Linked DNA regions of Tamandua tetradactyla. The protein of the gene in region 2 purifies or fractionates together with the protein of the main gene of each other region. This does not show direct contact. Links are inferred from orthologs where the notes say so. Each region holds a gene or a part of one and is shown on either strand. Other genes may lie near its edges.

What was found. Proteins that work in one complex are often made in the same cells at the same time.
Region 1: the proteins of MTF2 (region 2) and JARID2 purify together in Homo sapiens (affinity purification with mass spectrometry; 3 studies listed by BioGRID and IntAct, with this or other methods). This does not show direct contact. The link is inferred for Tamandua tetradactyla from reciprocal best matches to the Homo sapiens genes MTF2 and JARID2.

What each region holds. Positions count from the first base shown.
Region 1 is NC_135351.1:18,257,665-18,265,760, reverse strand, and holds the start of JARID2 (protein Jumonji), read right to left. Parts: upstream 3,101-8,096; 5' UTR 2,562-3,100; coding exon 2,517-2,561; intron 1,407-2,516; exon of another isoform or gene 1,363-1,406; intron 1,080-1,362; exon of another isoform or gene 834-1,079; intron 1-833.
Region 2 is NC_135337.1:30,941,808-30,949,770, forward strand, and holds the start of MTF2 (metal-response element-binding transcription factor 2), read right to left. Parts: upstream 3,061-7,963; 5' UTR 3,004-3,060; intron 1-3,003. UniProt on the Homo sapiens protein: Polycomb group (PcG) protein that specifically binds histone H3 trimethylated at 'Lys-36' (H3K36me3) and recruits the PRC2 complex, thus enhancing PRC2 H3K27me3 methylation activity.

The DNA of each region.
Region 1 (8,096 bases), on a different chromosome or scaffold from region 2:
CCAGCCGCCACAGGGTGCACATCCTGCAAAGACACACTCAACGAGGGTGTCCTCCAACAAATCAAAGCTTTCCCTGAATTAAGTTTCCTTCCTTTTCAAAAGCCTTGGAAACGCAATACCATCAGAAGACCTGGAACGGAGGAAACGCATTTCTGCACCCCTCCACGGAATCAGAGCAAGATCCGGGGGCTCTCGTTCCGAGACGACAGGTTCTCGGCTCTCACCTGGTGGGAAGCGCAGTTTCGGGGCGGAAGGCAGAGGCAGAGCGCATCCTCCCGCTCCTCCTCCCACGCGGATTTACAGCCGCGGTTAGGCCACGCGGCTCCTCCGCAGCCCCGGCCCCAGCCGCGCTCCCTCCTCCCACCGCAGCCGGGATGCGTCTGGAACCTCCCGCCCGACTTCTGACGTCACAGAGGAGGAGGGGAAGGTTCCACCCAGGCCCGTCCCTTTGTGACGTCACAATGACAACAGAACGCAGCGGGACGCACACGGGCACCGGGAGAAGCCGGGGGTGGAGGGCGGGGGCGCCGGCGGGGGGAGGACCGGGGGGTGGGGGGAGCGGACTGACGTCTCGCCGGCTTAACCTGTTGCGCTCGAGACTGCGCCTTGGAGCCCGCCGGCAGGGCCGCAAAGAACCGGCCCCCGGGCGGCCGCCGCCGCCGCCATGCTCACCGTGGGGGCTCCCGCCTCAGCTGTGGGCGGTCTGGCCCCCTCCCGGCACACGCCGCACACTCCCCGGGACCTAGCAGGCCTCGCGCCCCCTGCCCCTGCCCCACCCCACCCGCGGGCCGTCCCGGGGCGCACGGCGTCCGTCTCGCGCCCCCGCCCGGAACCGGGAGCCTGCCCCCTACAGGCCATCCAGCCTGGCCCACGGCGACCCGGGCGCCCCCTCCCCGGCTGGCCCGAGGACGTCCGGAACACGGCTCCTCTCCCAAAGCAACAACTCGAGCTCTGCCTCCCCGGCCGCCGTCAGACACGGGATTACAGCGGCGGGACTCGACACTTTGGCTGCCGCACCATCCGCCGGCGTAGTCACACACAAAAAATATCCGCCCCACACTACTCTCCAACTTAACGAGGTTGGGGCAGCGGGGGGTGGGGGTGGGGGGTGTAGAAGGGGCGGTTCTTGTCCAAGTTCTACCCAATTTGCTTTGTGGCTGCATCCCAAATGGACGTGCCCCGGGAGGGCTTCCACGCTCGCAGGCAAGGTTGCCTCCATGCAGTTTATACAGCCTGAGTTTAAACTAGTGCTTTGCATTCTCCCCAACCCTCTGCAATGCGGATGTATTTTAATTCGTAAATTCTTTATGGAATAGCATTTTAAGTTGGACTTGATTATTTAACCTTGAATTTCTTCCACAGGGGAAGTTTAAAGTGTCTAGATTAGGATCACCCCTCTAAAAAAGGTATTCATCTTTTCTATTATTTTTTTTTTTTTTTGCAAAACCAGTGCCCCGAATGTTACTCCCACCACACATATCAAAAAGGAATATTAACGCCCAACTTGTCAACTCGAGTCCAATAAAACTTTCTTATAACGCTGCATTATTCTCGATGTATGAACATTTGGCCTTTTTAAAAAATGGGTTTTCATTTAACGCGTACAGCTAATAGCCGACCACTAGAGTATATATTTGGTTAATCCCCCAGTCTCATGCTCCCCTCCCTCCCCCCAAACTTAAAAAAAAAAAAGCCACCACACACAAAACAAAAACACTCCCAATGCCAATCAAAATGTAGCTGTACTATGCACGAAACAAATTTAACTGTGCCAAACCATTTAAACCTCTGAATAATCAGATCAGTTAAGAGGAAGAAATTACTTGTAGACACTTAACATATGCATTTACGCACACACTTAAAAACACCAGCCAGTCTTTTTTTTCCCTAAAACTGGAAACCATGAATTTTTAAACAAAACCAGCCCCATTATTAAAGTCAACCCCAACAAATGTATTCGCTGAAACATGATTCCCAACTGGTTTATGTTCCGAACCAGATAAGCCAAAACGATCCCATACATTAAATTTGATGTGCCAGTGCAAGGAACAAGGTCGCCAAAATCGGACACTTGATTGCAAGTTAAAAGGCTTAGACTACACACGCGTTATACGATTTTCAAATAACATTAATAATAACAGGCTCATTTGCATGCAAAGTGCAATATGGGGGCCAAATCCGCCCGAGAATGCAGTTTAGTTACATTACCGCAACCGCCCACCCACCCCACCCCCCCAAGCTCCACCAAAATCCCTTGCCTTTCATCCAAAACTACATTATGGTTGTGTCATTCGAGGTCAATTTATTCACTTGAGGTATCGCTACACCAATCTGTTTTTTCGACCAAACTGAACAGACACGACTTTGCCTGAAAAGCCCTCTTTCTGAAAAGAAAGAAAAAGCCTTATCGGACGCTGTGTTTAAAACCCTTCAGCTGCAGAATTATCTATAAACTTGACATTCACAGCCATTGCTTAAAACTGCGAGTCAAAGGATATGTTGTTAAGAGCACTTACGTATTTCTTCTGAATGATATTCCTCTTGGGTCTTTCCTTGCTCATTCTGAGATCCAAATGCTGATTGCAAAAGGGGACAATTGCTTCATGAATTTAAAGCCGTCAGAAATTTGCAAAAAAAATCCTGTAGGTTTTTATTGTTGTTGGTCGTGGTGGTTGATCTTGTAATCCGACTTTTCTTCCTCTTCCCCCAAAACCAGATTCGCCTTGAAATAAATCCGAAATTGGGAAGGAAAAATAAAAAAAAGAGCCAAAGACGAACGAAGCAAACAAAAAAAAATTCACTTTAGTAAAACACTCATAATGGAAAATTTCCCCCGAAACACACACACACAAAAAAAAAAAACCGACGCCCTTCACTCCCCCCTTTTTCCTCCAAAAACTACATCAGCGGAACGTGAAGGTCCTTAGTGTCTGATATGTAGTTACATCTTGGAAAAGAAAAGGGAAAGATAAATAAAAAATGTTGGAAGTCACGTTTGTGCTGCAGCAGCAGTGAGAGAAGAGTCAACTCCAGCGGCGGCGGCGGCGGCACCACAGCGAGGGCTCGCCGAGTCTCTTTTTTCCAAGCCCCCTAACCAATGAGAGAGAGGCTATCCAGCCCAACTTTAAATGGACTCTGCTTTTATACAAGTTAGGGCTCCTCGGGTAATTCCCCTTCAAAAACTAGCCGAAAACTCCCACAGCTGAGCCACCAGGCGCCAGCCAACCGCGGCGCTCACCGCCCCTGGCCCAGTCCTGAGGACCCCCGCAGCCCGGTCGACCAGACACCCGAGAGACCGCAATGAGCCCGCCCCAGGCAACCTTCCAGACATCTCTCCCACGCCGAGCCTAGGACTGGAATTGACAGACGATCCCTAAACCCAATGCATGGCACGCTCGGTCGCTCCACCTCACCCCTTTTCTCCCCACTCGCCGCTCGCCCCACAGCCCCCACACGCTAGCCCCCGCCACTGCCCTCACATCTACCTGCAGCCCGGCTTCTGGGTACGAGTGCCCCAGGACGCCCGGCCCCGGGGAGAGCCGCCTATTCCCGGGGCACCTTAGAATGGTCCCCTTGATCTTCTGGAAGTTGTAGTCCCCCGACTACAAAATGGCTATGGCCATGGGAGGTGGGAACTACAACTCCCAGCCTGCCCCGCGAGCCTGTCATTCAACTCCCCTCCCTCCCTCTCGCCCCCTCCCCCTCACCAGCTCTGCCAACAAACGCTTGGACGTGTCCCGCGTGCGACACTGCTAGAGGCTGGCTCGGGATTGGCCCGCAGAGCGTGTGGTCCGCGAGCGAGGAACTCCCCACGCCGGCTCGCCCCCGCCCCGCACCCCCCTCGCCCGCGGCTGCCAGTCCTCTCCCCGCGAGCCCCGCCCCCACTCGGGCCGCGAACCGCCTGTGGAATCGAGGAATCGCGCGCGCGCGCGCCGGCCAGTGTCGGGGGCTCGGGGGGGCAGAGGGAGGCGGCCTGCGCGGCTTTCCCGGCGCGGGGGGCGGTGTCAGGGAGGGGTTGGAGCGGGTCCTGAGTAGAACTGGGCCACGCACCAAGAGGAATCCTCGGCGCGAACTAGTTGATCGGCGGCGCCTGCTGCTTCTGCGGTGCAGCCGGTGTCACCTCAGGACACCGCCTCGTGCGTTTACACAGGCGGCTCCTGTCCGGCTCCGGGGTAGTCTGAGGTCACCTCTTCCTCCGCTCGACGCCCCGAAGCCGCCCGCGCCCCTCCGCGCGGGGTGGGCGGCCGCGGGATCGCGGGCACTGGCGTGTTTAAAGGGCGCCCCCGCCTCGGCGCGCGACCCCGGCGTTCGCGAGCGCGAGAGAGGCGTCGGGGGAGGCCCCAGATTCACTCCCCGGGGCCGCCTGTGGAAAAGATAGACGTCTCTGAAGAGATCAAAGAGGATCTTTTCTCTCACAGGCGTGTTGGCGTCCGGTGTGTCCAGGAGTGAGACTGAAACGCTGAGTAAAAACAAGTGGAATATGGAGACTAAGCCACACAGCCTCGGTAACAGTAAGGAAGCATCTGGAACACCAAGTTAGCCCCGGGAGAGCTCGCGTTTTCACCTTCCTCTCCCTACCGCCCTTGTCACGCTGAAATAAATGAAATAGCATGACCTGGTGCATCTCTTTACCGCCCTGAGCCTTTGCCTTATTGACAACTTTGACGAGACTCGCACAGCCATTCTGCGTTAATTTTTTTTGTTAGAACCGTGGTTTTGAGGAAGCAATGTTTGAAGTTTATTCTGAGAATACCCTCTGAGTAAATTGAAAATGGGATAAGCGCTTGCTCCCTCCTTCTCATTCCTCTAAATTTTATTTCCTTCCCATTGCTTCCGTTCTGCTTAACTCAAGAGTTCAAACACAAATACACGAGGAACACCATTATTAGATTTTATTTGCAGTAGTGTTTGAAGTAACTGCAGGTCTCAGAAATGGATGTTAAGAGACCTGGGTTCAAATTCCACCTTGGCCATTTCCTAGAACAATGCAACTAACGACCACGCTGAGCGTCAATTTCCTCATCTGCAAATGGGTGGTTGACCCAATCTGTGAAAAACATATCTAAGAGCTAGGCACTTTGTAGGAAGTATCCTGTAAATGTTAGTTGGGAATGAAAGGCTTTTTTAAAGGCCCTTTTAATTATTACTTTCCCTTTAAAATAAAAAATCTGAGTGCTCTCTAAAATGGAGTAATTTTGACCCATGGTCATTTCATAATCAAGAAAATAAATCACCGTCCATGCCTTAATACTGCAAATCTTCTCTGGTACCATTTGCTGGGAAGGATCCAATAGAACAGACGCCACTTTAGTGTTGGCCACCCAAGCAAATGCTATGGTTAGGTTACAAGGTATTTTCAAAAGACTTGCAAATAGTGGGAGTCTGGGCTTCACACTGTTGTGGTTTGAAGCAGCTTTTGGGGGGTTTCATGTCAGACCTGTCATGCTCCAGACAAATGTTAAATAACAAAGGTGGATTTCTTCTTGGTTCCCTCTGCTAGGCCCTGAGGCTGGACCTCTCAGTCCTGGGCCTGTGAACTCCCCTGCTGGCTACCAACTCCAGATCACCAGGTATTAAAAAAATTTTCTGCTAGTTTAGTCCTGAAGGCAGGGGGAAAGAAGGAATTTGCTAAAGATTTGGATAATTGTGATGTTTTCCTGAAAAGAAAAATAGATTGTCCATTTTAGCAGTTGAAGGCCTTTCCTGTTGTGGAAGTGAATGTCTGTTGATGAACTTCCTTTCCCTGCTATCTTAGCAAGGCCATTTATTACCTTTCCTTTCTTTTTCTCCTCTTTCAGTTCTGTAAATCTAGTTCACGCTTTCTCCTACTTATTTTCCCCACTTAAAGCATTCCTCTTGACCTCTTCAAGAGGGTGGGGTGATACCTCACTAGGTATATTGATTCCATAGCTCAACAGAAGAGGACTTTACAGTCAATTACTATATGGACAAGAAGTCATATATTAGCAGCTTGGTAAAGGAGCTAAAGGCAATGAATAGCTGAGCTGACCAGGAATTAGGAAGTTTTGAAGGATAAGTAGGGGGGTCAACAGTTTGAAATAAGCAGAGAAACTTTTCAGCAAGTAAAATAATCATGAGAGTTGAAGAAATTGCTACATTAGGGATGGGGTTTGCTATTTGTTTGGGAGTAGCCAAAATTACGACAGAGAGCCAGGACCTGAAAGGCTCTTTGTGCCAGGCAATGGAGTTTAGGTTTTGTCCTGTAAACTAAAGAAGGATTTTATCCATATGTATAAAGCAGATTTACACTTTTAAAAGGTAGTTTTGCCACTATGAGAAATGAGAATAGAAACACTAGAGGCAAGAAGGCCTAGATACCAGTTGAACTGTTATTGCGTAAATGACATGAGAAATGGTGATAATCTGAATCAAGTGGCAGAGGGAACAGCATACGGAGCAGAGGACAGGTTGAGAAATATTTAGCATATCAAAAATCCACTGGGCTTGGGAACTGGTTAGGTGTAGGGAATGGTGGAAAAGAGGGTAGTGTCTAAAGTTACTCCTTGATTTTACCTTTTATACTCCTTTAATTAAATTGATTATCCGTTCCAAGAAGAATGGGAACCTGATGGGGTGAGGGAAGAAGAGGTGACAAGTCATTAGAAACAAATAAGAGCAGGCACTATTCTGGGTTTAAATCTGCTTAGGCAATCATATTTAATTAAGCATTCTTGTCCACCACTTCATTTACTATAAGAAAGGATGGGGTAAGAATTAAAGTGTTAATAAAGATCAAGTAGAAAAAAGTAATTAATAGTCGTGTATTAAATGCACATTGAAGTGTTCCTCTTCACCCAGGATGACACAGATTATCATGCTTCCAAACATCAATCATATCCATTGTTTTCCTAAGAAATGATTCACAATTCATCTCCATATTACACTCCATTTCACAGTATCTTTATTTACCTACATTCTATGTCGTACATTCTAAGGCCTCAGCTTTAGTCCTATCACCAATTTAGCCTGGCTGCTTGACTTACTCATTCTGGGATTCTCATTACCCGTGCTTCTCTGGTCACATTTTTTTGAGATTTAAAATTGTGTTCTGTGTTGTATTGCTTGCCAAGTATGTCGTTTGTTTATTTTTTCTCTCCTAATTAGGAATTTTCATGGGGGCATGATTTGTTTTATATTGAGGCTGCCATTGACAAGGAAGCGAATCACGAGATAAGAATTAGGTGTTTCTAATATGAGTGACCTTACAAGATTCACTTGACCCCTCTGGGCCCCAGGTCCATCATGTAGAAAATGAGAGGTTTGAATTCAGTTATCACCCCAGATTTTTGTGGACCTAACATGCTCTAATCCTACTTTGACCTTTATACCATATTTCCTTCTTCCCCTTTCAGAGCTGGCCTTTTCAATTTAACTAGACTTAAATACACGTGTTAAGTAAGAATTGCTAGGGAAAGTTTCTTTAGATCTGTACATTATTAATTTCCTAATACAACCTTATCTTTCCCTGTGCTATCTAATGCTATCTTTCACTTGTACAACTTTTTATAGTGTTTAAAGTACACTCTCATAATAGTTTCATTTTATCTATAAAATGAACCCTGATCAAGATAGGTAGGTATTATCATCCTCACTCCACTAATGTAAAAATAAGGGCGGGTGCAAGTGTAGAGGGGGTTGCAAATGTACTGAGGGATACAAGGGTAATTCAGTGGTAGAATTCTCACCTGCCATGAAGGAGATTCGGGTTGAATTCCCAGCCCATGCATTTCCCCCCACCCCAAAAAAATCAACAAATGGTGCTGCAATAATAGGATAGTCACATGGAAAAAGAATGAAATGTGACCCCCACCATACAGCATACAAAAAAAAATGCAATAGGAGAGACTTGTGGTGCGCTTGCTGGCCTGTCTTCCACCCACTCGCTGGCAGACTTTGGAACCAGTATGCACACTGGTGGTGGATTCTTGGACCTGTTCAAGCAGGAGTAGAGTAACCCCTATCTGCCTAATATAGTGGGGTGCTTATACAAGAGTATCCATTAACTGGGGTAGAGTGTGAATCACCAAACTAGGAGATCCTTCTTGGGCTTGCTCTCTCAGAACTTGCTCTGCAAT
Region 2 (7,963 bases):
CCAATGCTCTCTTCCCATTTATTTAAATATAAACTTAAAAGTTATAATGTACCTGCTTTATCATATTATCAAAGATAACAAAATAATTACAATTTTGTGCCAAGCATTGTATAAGACTCTTGGCATGTATTATTTTAACTCTACAACCAACTCTTCGGTAAATATCCTATTTATAGAGAGGAACTGAGGCTCAGAAATATAAAGTAACTAACCCAAGAACCCTAAATCAGTTAAGTACCAAGGCTAGGATTTACACCCAGATATGGTAGAGTCTATATTTTTCTCACAATGAGAAGCTACCTTTCACTGAAAATATGCAGTATTTATTCCATCAAAAGCATTTTTAACACTGCCAGTTTTCTAATTCATAACTTATAATGACTGCATAATATTTGATCCAGTGGATGGAACCAAATGTACTTTCTTACTCTATTCTTGGACATACAGGTTACAAAATCATATTTTGGTTTATTTTTTCTTGTGGGTATTTTGTGGGATTTTTTGCTAGTCTGTAGTTTTGTTCACTTTAGTCTTTTGTTCTCCCATCTTCTCCCAGGCTTCATTCATCTGCTTCCTGGTATACCCGTCAAGACATGGCCTCCCATAGGTTCTGGATTTATAGCTCTCGTCAGGAGAGCAGCCAGACTCAGCCCCAGTGGGAACTGTCAGCCTACGTCTGCAATTTCCTAAAAGGAACTGATCACCCAAGATTTGCAAAAGGTGCTTGCACCTGACTCCTTCTGTAACCACATGGACTGGTAAGAAAGAAGGCAGCTCCCCTGCAAAGGAGAGCTGACTCATCACCTCAGAAAACAATCCTGTGGAAATCAAGTACTACATTTACTTGTGAAATATAAGTAACATTTTTACCATCAAATTTACAAGAACTTTCCTGTGTAGCTCAGTGGCCCTCTATAGACTCTCTAACTTCTAAATCCAAATGACTGTAAATATAAAGCTACAGCAAACATTTTTCTTTTTAATTTTTGAGATTTCTTTTGAACAAACTGCTGAACGTGGGCAGGTAGATTAAAGTGTATAAACATTTTATGCATTTAATCCAATTGCTAAATTAACAGCCAAAATTCAAATTTACACTGCCACCAACAATGTCAGTTGCATTTTCACAAAAAATGTAGTAGCATTAAGTGTGAAAGTTTAAAATCCTTTAAATCTAATGTTTTTAACATAAATCCCTGTGCTAAAATAAATTTCTTTCACTACTAATATAATTATACATTTTTACTTATTTATGTAAGCTTTTTAAAAGAAAGTTATTAGAGGAATAAAATTACTCAGACTTATTATGTATTTTTGATATATAATCTATTACTTACAGGGACAAAAACTACTAAATAATTCCTCCATTGAAATATGACATCATGCAAGTTTTCAGGTACTACCTTAATGGCTACAGGAGACCATTTACTTGCTCATTTCTATTAAAACTCCAAGTTTCATGGGCACTACATTCTAGGTGGGCAAAAAGTTAAATGGCAAAAGAATAAGTCTTTGTAATTTAGGGATAGCAAAGAAGCCAGTAAAAAAAAGAATACCATAGACAACCAAACTGATACACTGGGGCATAGGTTGGACTGTACCCCTCACCTTCAAAATAACTTTTCATAATTATGTATCATTTGTTTTCTTCTTCCTTTCTGCCACATTTAGAGGGTGCAAGATGGAGAGAGGCCTATTTTTAACCCACAGCAACCTCCAAATGGTGGAAAAGCTGAAAAGGACATATAACTTATGGAAGAGGGATAGGATGCAATCAATACTATATGTTTCAGTCCCCACCTCAGAGACCAACGTTTACAAACTTGGGGAAAAGGGATAATTCTGTATGCAGTAGTCAAGATCAGCTCAATATTACTATTGTTGACCTTTTATCCCTTTAAATATTATAACACACAAAATTTTCTCAAAGACCCATCAATTTCATATTCAAAACATACCTTTAGTCCTTTAAACTGATCAGTTCCACAAACTAAAAAACATTTCCTTAAGAAAACATTTTACTGAAGTAACACCTAAGCCTTGAATACCAACTATATAGATGGTAATTAAGACATTTCAAATCTTTCAGAAAAAGGAGAAAAATCAAAAAATAGAATATAGTAGTAGTCACCTATGATAAAGTTGCAATAGGGATCCAATAGCTAAAAACTTTAGAAAGATATATCTACACTTTAGGGAAGATAATTTATGTTTCCTTTCCAACAGAGGACACAAAACAGGCATATTAACCCAGCAAAAGAAAAACAAAGAAAGGGGTCTTAACGAACAGCTTTTGCTCAGATTTTCAGTAAAGATTCACTCTTTATATATATAAAACATTTTCCATCAAAGATATACATGCAAAAATACCTATATTTAGAGATTCAAAGGGCATACAGTAATTGCAATCTATAATAATGGAAATCATTACAAAAAACATACCTATAATCAAACTAAGACACACTTGTACTCATTTTTATTTGCACCCAAATATATTCTCACTTTCCCATCTAAACACAAAAAGCCACAATTAAGCAGCAATTTTAAACCACTCTTATTTATAAATATTCCTAGTACTCTAAAATGATTTATGTTCAAATTCCTCAAAGCATCTGGCAAATAATGGTCTCAACAAATATTATTTTTCTTCATTGCTCTGTAGTAATAAAGGCAAGTAACAGCCAAATTGATTCCAAAACTGTTACTTATCTTAGTGGCTTAACCTTTTTCCTCAAAGTTCTTAGAAGGGCCCATATTTTACCCTACAATAGGTGAGAGTCCTCAGTCCTCTAGTCTACCTCTACTCTAACACAGTATTCTTGTTCTTCTTTTGGTCTATAAGAAATCTTCAGTATAGCGTAAAACTTCTTAAAGTTTATGAAGAATATATATATTTTAACCTCTCCTCAAAAGGAATACATTGTATTGAAGAGTCAACACTAGAATGACAAGTTGAAGATATCAAATTTTAGTATAAATCATGGTTAAAAGTAATAATAGCACCTGCCTGTTTGAATGTCCTTCCAGAGAACCCAGGATTTAGAACTATCTTCAAATATGATGAAGCAGCTCTGTTTCAATATGTTTATCTGCAATGCAGAGGAATACTTATGGTCATCTCTTTTAAAATTAAAAACATGAAGTCAAGTTTAAAGGCTTATGATTATTAAAAGTTTACTGTACAACAGCCAAAGATAACTTATCTTGAGATAACTTGCCTTTTTGATAGTTCCAAGATAAAACAAGCCATCTGACCATCTAGCTAGGACATCCTGACCCTCTTCAAATTTACATGCTGGCTTTTTGGTTTTATGTCCATCCTGTAAAGACAGCTTGGTCAAGGATGCTGGGGTCTTTTGGTTTCGACGTAAAGGAGACCGCTTGTGGACCAGTGAATTACCTGCCCCTGTGGAGTCTCTGTTCAGGAAATAAAAGACCATAAATAAGACTAGTTTACTCGTATAACTTACTTTAAACCAATGAAAAATTCTAATTTTAATTAAAAATTTTGATTTTTTAAAAATATTAAGTTGAAGGAAAACATAGTAGGTGTCTCAAGATCATGAATACTCTCCTAAAACAAAGGTTTAAAACAAGATAATAGTTTTCAAAACTCAATGTCTATTCTAAATGAGCCTAGAATTTAGCAATCCCTCATAAGATAAGATATTCATGTCAGCCATCATCAAAACATCACCTCTAATTTGAGGTGGGAAGGCCACTGTTATTAGCAAAGAATGCCTCAAATCTCATGACTTGTTTTAGATAAACTAAAATAAGTTATACTGTATAATCCCATAAGCACTTGATAAAGAATAAATATGAATTAAATTTTAATCTCTTGAATATGCTACATGCAGTTAAAGCTCACACTAAACCAGTGACTTTGGGGGGCAAATGGGTATATTCACACTCACTGGGAGCAGCTGGGACCCTCTTCCTACAGGGAATCACTTTAATTGGTGGGAGTGTATCATGGTCTCTCAAATATGCAGAGTGGGGGCAAAAAAAAAAAAAGATTGAGAACTACTAACTTCACAAAATTATACTTAAGTGAGAATATGTAAAAAAAGCATTTTTTTCAAGTAAAAGATCCCAAAATAACAGACCCCTAAATTACATTATGAATAATACATCAGTCATTCCATAAACAACGTACCATCAACTTTCTTAAAGGTAACAAAACAGTGTTTCTTATTTGGTTTCACTTTTCCAATTTACATTTTTCACAAATTTAACACAATGATATGTAAAACTAGACAGATAAATAATCCTAAAATAAGCATAAGCTTATAAAGATAAATCAAGAGGGAAAGAGAAGCTTCAATACTTAAGAATTCTATATATAAATTCTGAGAAAATGATTTAACAATGATAGAATTGCATGATGTAATTCAGAATTACATCATGTAATTCTATCATCTCTTCATGATGAAGAGAAGGTAGTCAAGAATAGGGGATTCCTACGATTTAACTTGAAAATCTACTAAAAAGCCCTTCTCCTATCTGTCTATAATAAGTATCACTGCTTTTGTGATAAGTACTTTACATGAAGTTTTCAATACAATTCTACAGGAAATCACCATCCCAAATTACCTAGGAAAAACGTGAGGTTATAATGTAATCTGTACAAGATCATACGGTTTGGAAGTAGAAAAACTGGAATTTAAAAGAAGGAAGTCTAACGCCAAAAGTCTCCCCACCCATTGTTTTTCTCCAATCCCCATAGTCTCCACACTGACAATTTGATAAACGTGTATGTATGGTGGGGGGGTGTGTGGGCATGTGGGGGTGGGGTGTTTGATAATGTTATACTTAAATAAACAAAATTCAATACCTCAATAAACCATTTCAGTAATATAGAGTATCAACTCACTAAATAGACTTCTGTTTTTTAAAATATGGACATGAATTGCTAAAAAGGCAAAAACATTCTTCCTGATCGCTAAGTCAAATATTCCCCTTTCCTTTCTCTCCTTAGCTCTGCTTAGGTTAGGAGCTCCAACAATTACCCACCCCTGTCATTATTAATCAGGAAAAAAAAGTCACAAATGGAGACAAGCCCAAGGATCCCTTTACATTCCACTGTCACAATTATTGTAGCACCAACAACTGAGAAATATCAATGGAATAAAAAATATTGGAGTATCCAGCTGCAGATACACCGGGACTACAAAGACATTTCTATGTGAGAGAAAAAGGGAAGAAGAGAAGCAAGGACTCTTGGGAGCACAACTTGTCTCCAAGGGAGTACATTAAATAAAGTATATATAACAAAAAGGAAAGCATTAGCGTTGCTGGACTTTTGCTTAACTACTGCTGAATTTAACTGAATTCAAGGTATTTGCAGATCTTGCCTAAAGACAGATTATGTTTAATAATCTGTTTTCTTCTAAATAAGCAGTTGTTAGACACAGAAGCCTTTATACCTTAAAAATTACTAAAGACCCCAAAAAACTTTTTCTTATAGCTATTGATTATTATCCAAATGAAAATGGATAATTAAAAAATTTAGAAAAAATAGTTAATTTAAAATAATAACAAGCTCATTACATGTTTTAAAAGTCTTTTTTTATTAATTTAAAAAATTAACAAAAATATTAACATAATTCCATTCTACATATATAATCAGTAATTCTTAATATCATCACATAGTTGCATATTCACCATTTCTTAGAACATTTGCATCGATTTAGAAAAAGAAATAAAACGATAACAGAAAAAAAAGATTATACATACCATACCCCTTGCCCCTCACTTTCACTGATCACTAGCATTTAAAACTAAATTTATTTTAACATTTGCTTCTCCTATTATTTATTTTTATTCCATATGTTCTACTCATCTGTTGATATGATAGGTAAAAGGAGCATCAGACACAAGGTTTTCACAATCACATAGTCACATTGTGAAAGCTATATCATTGTTCAATCATCATCAAGAAACATGGCTACTGGAACACAGCTCTACATTTTCAGGCAATTCCCTCCAGCCTCTCCACTACATCTTGAACAACAAGGTGATATCTACTTAATGCGTAAGAATAACCTCCAAGATAACCTCTCGACTCTGTTTGGAATCTCTCAGCCACTGACACTTTGTCTCATTTCACTCTTCCCCCTTTTGGTTGAGAAGGTTCTCTCAATCCCTTGATGTTAAGTCTCAGCTCGTTCTAGGGTTTTTCTCAATCCCTTGATGCTAAGTCTCAGCTCAGTCCAGGATCTCTGTCCCACGTTGCCAGGAAGGTCCACACCCCTGGGAGTCATGTCCCACGTAGAGAGGGGGAGGGTGGTGAGACTGCTCGTCATGTTGGCTGGAGAGAGAAGCCACATCTGAGCAACAAAAGAGGCTCTCTTGGGGGTGACTCTTAGGCCAACATTTTAAGTAGACTTGACCTATCCTTTGTGGGGTTAAGTTTCATATGAACAAACCCCAAGACTGGGGGCTCAGCCTACAGCTTTGGTTGTCCACACTGCTTGTGAAAATATCAAGAATTCAACTTGGGGAAGTTGAATTTCTCCCCGCTCTCACCATTCCCCGAGGGGGGCTTTGCAAATACTTTTCCACTCACTGATTGAATCACTCTGGGATTCATTGGGGCATCACTCTGGACAAACCAACAAAATCTCATGTCCTACCTGAGATTCCAAGTATTTATGACGTTCAATCAAACTATCTACATAAGTTATACTAGGAAATGCTCTAGTCAAAACATAAATTTCGTAACAAATAAACATTTTTTGCTTTAGTCTCACACATAAGGTGACATTTTAAAATATTAATTACCATCTATTTTCAGCACTCTGCAATAATGACATTCCTTTGTTCTTCCTCATGCAAAAACATTTTTAAAATTTGTACATTGTACATTTCACTATTATTATACACTCTAGGCATTCCTAGATTACACCATCTCAATCTTCAACATCTTTCTTTCTGATTTCATCTATGTCCCCAGCCCTCCTCCCTCTATCATTCTCACATGCAGCTTCATTCAGTGTTTTAACGTAATCATATTACAGTTAGGTAGTATTGTGCTGTCCATTTCTGAGTTTTTGTATCCAGTCCTGTTGCACAGTCTGTATCCCTTCAGCTCCAATTACCCAATATCTTACCCTATTTCTATCTCCTGATGGTCTCTGTTACCAACGAAATATTCCAAGTTTATTCACTAATGTCTGTTCATTTCAATGAGACCATAAAGTATTTGTCCTTTAGTTTTTGGCTAATCTCACTCAGCATAATGTTCTCTAGGTCCATTCATGTTGTTACATACTTCATAAAGTATGCCTTAAAGCTGCATAATATTCCATCATATGTATATACTACAGTTTGTTTAGCCACTCATCTGTTGATGGATATTTTGGCTGTTACCATCTCTTTGCAATTGTAAATAATGCTGCTATAAACATTGGTGTGCAAGTGTCCGTTTGTGTGTTTGCCCTTATGTCCTTTGAGTAGATACCTAGCAGTGGTATTGCTGGGTCATATGGCAATTCTATATTCAGCTTTTTGAGGAGCTGCCAAACTGCCTTCCACAGCAATTGCACCATTTGACATTCCCACCAACGGTGAATAAGTGTGCCTCTTTCTCCACATCCTCTCTAGCACTTGTCATTTTCTGTTTTGTTGATAATGGCCATTCTGGCAGGTGTTTAAAATAGTCTTTTTAATGAAGAAATAACTTCAAAAACTTGGCAAGAAGAGAGGCATTACTTTACAGTTTTTGCAAATCCCTTGGTTTAAGAGATAACAGCTGGATTCTCTTATCTCTTCTCTGAATGTTTCAACCGAAATATATGCAGAAAATCTAGCCTCACAGAGATATGTGAAAGGAGGATTTTAAGTCTTTTCTGTAATTGCCGATATTCTACTTTTCTGCTATACCAATTCTCAATAACCAGTTGTTTTTTAAAAAGTTACTTGAAATGTAGGATCTGAAACTTCATGACCAAACTTTTAC